Linked DNA regions of Tribolium castaneum. Each later gene encodes a partner of the first gene's protein in a complex. Links are inferred from orthologs where the notes say so. Each region holds a gene or a part of one and is shown in the gene's direction. Other genes may lie near its edges. The genes, in order: actin-related protein 2/3 complex subunit 3-B and Arpc4.

The links.
Region 2: actin-related protein 2/3 complex subunit 3-B (region 1) and Arpc4 share a complex: the UniProt entries of both Caenorhabditis elegans proteins name them as parts of the arp2/3 complex. The link is inferred for Tribolium castaneum from reciprocal best matches to the Caenorhabditis elegans genes arx-5 and arx-6.

The regions. Positions count from the first base shown.
Region 1 is NC_087401.1:15,949,768-15,952,463, reverse strand, and holds actin-related protein 2/3 complex subunit 3-B, read left to right. Parts: upstream 1-1,368; 5' UTR 1,369-1,503; coding exon 1,504-1,509; intron 1,510-1,560; coding exon 1,561-1,743; intron 1,744-1,787; coding exon 1,788-2,138; 3' UTR 2,139-2,196; downstream 2,197-2,696. Other genes in the region: GPN-loop GTPase 3, read right to left, coding at 367-1,143, 1,190-1,234. UniProt on the Caenorhabditis elegans protein: Functions as a component of the Arp2/3 complex which is involved in regulation of actin polymerization and together with an activating nucleation-promoting factor (NPF) mediates the formation of branched actin networks.
Region 2 is NC_087401.1:12,843,577-12,846,468, reverse strand, and holds Arpc4 (actin-related protein 2/3 complex subunit 4), read left to right. Parts: upstream 1-1,672; coding exon 1,673-2,179; downstream 2,180-2,892. Other genes in the region: ND-23 (NADH:ubiquinone reductase 23kD subunit), read right to left, coding at 1,238-1,360, 1,452-1,491. UniProt on the Caenorhabditis elegans protein: Functions as actin-binding component of the Arp2/3 complex which is involved in regulation of actin polymerization and together with an activating nucleation-promoting factor (NPF) mediates the formation of branched actin networks.

The DNA.
Region 1 (2,696 bases):
TTCAAGGGCAATTTCGACGTATCCCACACTCTAACTCACCTCCGGAATTGCCGTCACGTAATTAAGTCAGTATTTTTTTGTTTTGTTTGGGGAAACGAAGGAACAAATTCTTTTTCTGTGATAACTCCTACTTACATGACTTAACTACTTCACTTTTCCTACTTTTTGTGCAATTGAACGAATTCGGCGGTTTGTAAATAACTTGTGATTTTTTTAAGTTTAAGTCTCATCCACGTGTACCTTTTTTATCGTATAGGTTGCTTTAAGAGGAATAAAAACCGATAGAAAAGTAGGTTTAGTTTAGTATTTTGTGTTATTGTTTTATATAAAAAAAAGTATAAATTGGAATAAACACTCTAGGGAATTTTATTCGTCGTCCTGTTCCTCGAAATCACGTGTCCTGACGTCCTGATCCTCGCCATACTGTATCACGTTGTCAATGGTCACCAAAATGTCACTCACACTTTCGTGGTTTTTCAAATTGAGGGGGAAAAACCTGACTAGGGAATAATTCTCAATTAAATCCCCTATGGCTTCAGACAATTTTTTGTATTTCTCATTGAAGGCATTCATGCCACTTAACTCAATATCCCCCAGAATGGCATGCGAATCAGGCTCGAGGAACCTATCGAGGCGCTTGCGCGCCCCCTTGCTCAACAAATCCATTTTCGACAACAAATTCACATGAGGCAGCTCTAAATTAACCATGACACTGAGTGCAGCCATGGTGCCCGACAAAAACTTGGCCCCGTCTGTCATAAACTGAACGTCCACCAAAAAAATACTACAAATATTAAAATTCCAGTCTTGTAACAACTTGACTAATTTTTTCATAGCTGTTAAGTGCGTGTATAGTTCGATTTGACCCGGACAGTCAAACAAAATATAATCGTCCTCCTCCTCCCCCAACTTGTCTCGCAACCAGTCGGAGTTCTCCAGCAGGTACTCCAGGCAAAAGACAAGCCCCCCGTTGGGGCCAAAGTGCAACTCTTCGTCCTCCATGGTGTCCTGCACGTGGATTAACTCGCGGATGTCGGCACGTGGCTCGTAGTCGAAGTGTTCGGCCGCTGGGTCCAAATTTACCACTTCTATGGTGCGTTTTGCGTCGACTGCGTGTTGCACCAAAGCCGAACAATACGTCGACTAACAATTAAATTAGCCAAATTGTGCTACAATAACAAATAATTACCTTGCCACTGCCCGCGGGGCCAATAACTAGCTGCGCGTACCGCATTTTTACAAAAAACAAACGCAAAAAATTAGGTTAGGTAACGACCAGTGTTACCACCATGCAATAAGTGAGGTTGTGTTGTGACCCAAAAGTGGCGTTTTTCGCCCAAAACCGGTGTTTTTGTGTGTTTTTTTACCAAAAGTGCGATTTTGTGGGGCTCTTGCCCGTTTAAGTGGGGGTTTTGGGGCCCTAGTGTTCATACATTGTGGCAGTGTTCTGCATTACCGACGTGACTAATCTGGGAGGTTTGGTGAAATTTCTGTGGAAAAACCATGCCGGTGCGTTTGATAGCCCCCTTGTGTGCCGTTTGGTGTGATTTGTGGTTTCAGGCGTACCATTCGGCGTTTTTGGAGCACCAACAATCGGTCGGTAACACTGCCATTTTGCCGTTTAAAACACAATTTCGGGGGCCAGCGCCCCCATTTGGGGGGCAACCCGGCGACCAGGATATCATAGACGAGGCGCTTTATTACTTCAAGGCCAATGTTTTTTTCCGCACTTATGAGATCAAGGTGAGCCCCACTTGTGACAATCGGCACAAAAACGCCCTTTTCAGTCGGAGGCCGACCGTTTGTTGATTTACATCACCCTGTACATTACCGAGTGTCTCAAAAAACTGCAAAGGTGTGCGAACCGCAACCAGGGCCAGAATGAGATGTACACTTTGGCCATTTCCCGGTTTGATATCCCGGGGGATCCAGGGTTTCCCCTGAATTCGGTGTATAGTAAGGCGAAGTCGCCCGCCGATGCTGAGTTCCTGAGGGCGTACTTAACCCAGTTGAGGCAGGAAGTGGGGCTGCGGGTCGTCGATCGGGTCTTTGGGGAGGACGGGAAGCCGAGTAAATGGTGGCTGTGTTTTGCCAAAAAGAAGTTCATGGATAAGTCGCTCTCAGGGCCGGGACAATGAATTTGCCAATTTTTTAATTATTTGATTCTGTATTGTATTAATAAACCATTTTTTTTTATTGTTGTGTTTGGTTTGTTTTCACGCGGTTTGTGAATGATATGTGATACATTATCGCATGGAACGCCCATACAGACCTTTAATCCGGATGCCGTTCGGGGGACACAACAATCTTGAAATTCAGTGATAAGAGGCTCATTAAAGCAGAGGCGCCTCGCGAAAGTCGCTGATTTTTTTTTAATTTTTTTCGCTTTCTCTTTAATTAATTACACAATTTTTCGGCTCAAAAACGACCGAAATTATTCTAAATAGGCAAAAAACGTTAATTTTTCTTAAGTTTTGTACAAAAAGACTTCTCAATAAAAAAAAATCGAGTGATGTCTAAGGACTAATACAACGGTTGTCTAAAGGTTAGGAGACGGAACGACGTACAAATAAAACGTTCCCATCTTCGTTAGTTCCGTTAAAGACGCTAGAGAGCGCAGTTGTTCCATTACCCAAGTTCCTTACACTGTCATTTTAGACATAACTCAGATTTATTAGCTTATTTTTTAAGAAATT
Region 2 (2,892 bases), about 3.1 Mb from region 1:
CATTGGAATCCCACAGTCAAGAAAAGAATTATTGTTACAATTATTGATATGTAAATATTTATGTGAGTATTAATAATATAGTACAATATATTTAATAGTTTTGCAAAAATTAATAGTTAATAATACTTATCCACTTAATTTAGTCAAGAAAATTTTATTATAATGATAATAATGACCAACCAAATATGTTAAATAGTAATAATTCCTAAATTAATCTTCTATAAAACAAAAAAAAAACATTAAATCAAGTAAAACTAGAATCAAAAGTTTACTGAAAAACTTAGTAAAATTGACAAATTCCTTATTATGAAAAAGTAATAACATTATATAATTATGGTCAACATATTTTTAACATGTTTTGTCTTGATGTTTAACAGTTTTGTGACTAGGATATTAATTATAAGTTATAACTTATAACCTTTTTAACCTTAATCGTACCTAATTGCCATGTCAGTATTTTGATTTTTTATTAATAATTGTAAGTAAAGTATCAATATATAACAAATGTTCATTACAAAAAAAAAACTAGAGTGCTGTGAAATTAAAAAATAATTGTTTTGTGATTAATTCATTCTCCCATAAACTTACTTTTTGGAAATTAAAAATATAACAGATGTTCATAAAAGTTAATATTATTCATAAAAAATGTCGGAAATGTCTTTTTTGTTGTTCAAAACATAACACATAGCCTTTGAAGACTATTTATGAATCTTGGGTTATAAATTCTATTGAGCTGGTTTAGTAGGCAACCAACAATATAATGGAAAAATTGTACTACGACATCCGTAAAAATGTCAAGGCAGAAAGATAACAGAGTTAGTAATTAATTGCTGTTATATTGTTTTTTTTTTTTTATTTTTTAGCCTAATGATGTTTATTATATAAACGAAACGTTGCAACTCGTTGATTTATTTAAAACTTTTTAAGGAAAAAATTTCAAATTTTGCGTTCACGCGTTCAGAGATCTCAGTACAGTTTATCCTTAATACCAAGCATCTCTGCTTAGCATTTATAATATTTTATTTAAAAGATGACTATTATTTACCTAGCAGTTTATTATTATCAAAAATCAAAACGCCTGTGAATTATGCAACCAACAATACAAACGCCACTAGTCCACTACTACTAAAAACTTATTTAATGTCGAAAAACGAACATTATGACTACAATACCGAAAACAATTCAATACCAAACATCCAAAAATTATGTTTTTCCCCCCAATTAAAGTTTCACTTACCGGTTACTTCGTTCAAACTCATGCCAGGCTCGCCCGGATTTACGTTGATGTAGTCGCCTTTCGACGTGCTTTTTAAGCGGTTTTGCCCACATGCTCGCAGGAAAATCGAGGGGCGACCTGAGACTGTTATGAAACCAAATTGAGGTTATGTCGTTCGACACAAAAAAACCGAACGCAAAACAACGAAAACACAAACCCGGCAGTAGCTACGTACCTGATCTACTCAGACTGTACAATTTAAGGGCCCCGGACATGTTTTTGATTGTTTTTTTCGAAATTAAAGCAACTTTTTTGACATTACGCACCTTACGTCAATGTCAAAATCGCTGCGCCATCTGGCGGATAATAATTTGTGTTGACAAATTGACAATTGTATGTCAGAGAGGTGTGGTGTTATCACTGTTATCAGTCGTAATTTTGCTCAAAAAAGCGGTAATGTCGGCGACGCTACGGCCCTACTTAACGGCGGTGCGGCACACCTTAACGGCCGCCATGTGCCTGGAGAACTTCTCCTCCCAGGTGGTGGAAAGGCACAACAAGCCGGAGGTTGAGGTTAGGTCCAGTAAGGAGCTGCTGTTGACTCCCGTCGTGATCTCGCGCAACGAGAAGGAAAAGGTGTTCATAGAGACGTCAGTGAACTCGGTCCGTATCAGTATAGCCGTGAAACAAGCGGACGAAATCGAGAAAATCCTCTGCAAGAAGTTCATGCGGTTTATGATGATGAGGGCGGAGAATTTCGTGGTTTTGCGGCGGAAGCCCATCGAGGGCTACGATATTAGCTTCCTGATTACGAATTTCCACACGGAGCAGATGTACAAACATAAGTTGGTCGATTTTGTGATTCATTTCATGGAGGAAATTGATAAAGAAGTGTCGGAAATGAAGTTGGCGGTGAATGCGAGGGCTCGAATAGTTTCGGAGGAGTTTTTGAAGAGGTTTTGAGGAGAGCGAGAGTGGACATGTGTACATAAGTTCTAGGTTTATCCAGCAGGAAGATTTATTTATTCCTAATTTCAAATACGAATTCTATTTTTACTTATTATATTGTTTCGCCAATAAATCGATCATTTTATTAAGAAAAATGTTTTTTTGTTGTTTGGACCACTGGGTCACTGGTACTACCAACCTCGAACACGAAAAACACCAAAGCCAATTTGGGGGCATTTCAGATAAAGCGTCCAATTAAGCAATAAATAATAAAATATATAAAATGAAGCTTTATATACTTATGAAAAATTCACTGTTCTTTTTAACTCTGAAATCGGATTCAAAATTTGATTTTTTAGTGTAGAAAGCCGGAAGTGAAATTTCAAATCAGAATTTCAGTAACTTGGACTTTTTTTTCAAAAAAAATAGCTGAAAGTAAATAGATTAAACACATAAGTGGCAAAATAGGATCTCTATTCCTTTAGGAGTACGTAATGTTCACAAAAGCGCGTTATTTCTCGCGAAAACCGTCCGATCACGTACAGTCGAACAAAGTGAAAATGACGCCTTAATCAATACACCAGTCCCTACTGTAGATGCAAACTTGACGTAGTTTTAAGATAAATTTTCTTAGAAGCCGGTTTATAAAAAGCGAAATAAAAATTTAATTCATACGATTTTTTCACCTAAATGTAATAGAAAATTTGAAATTTTCTTAGAATTCAGCG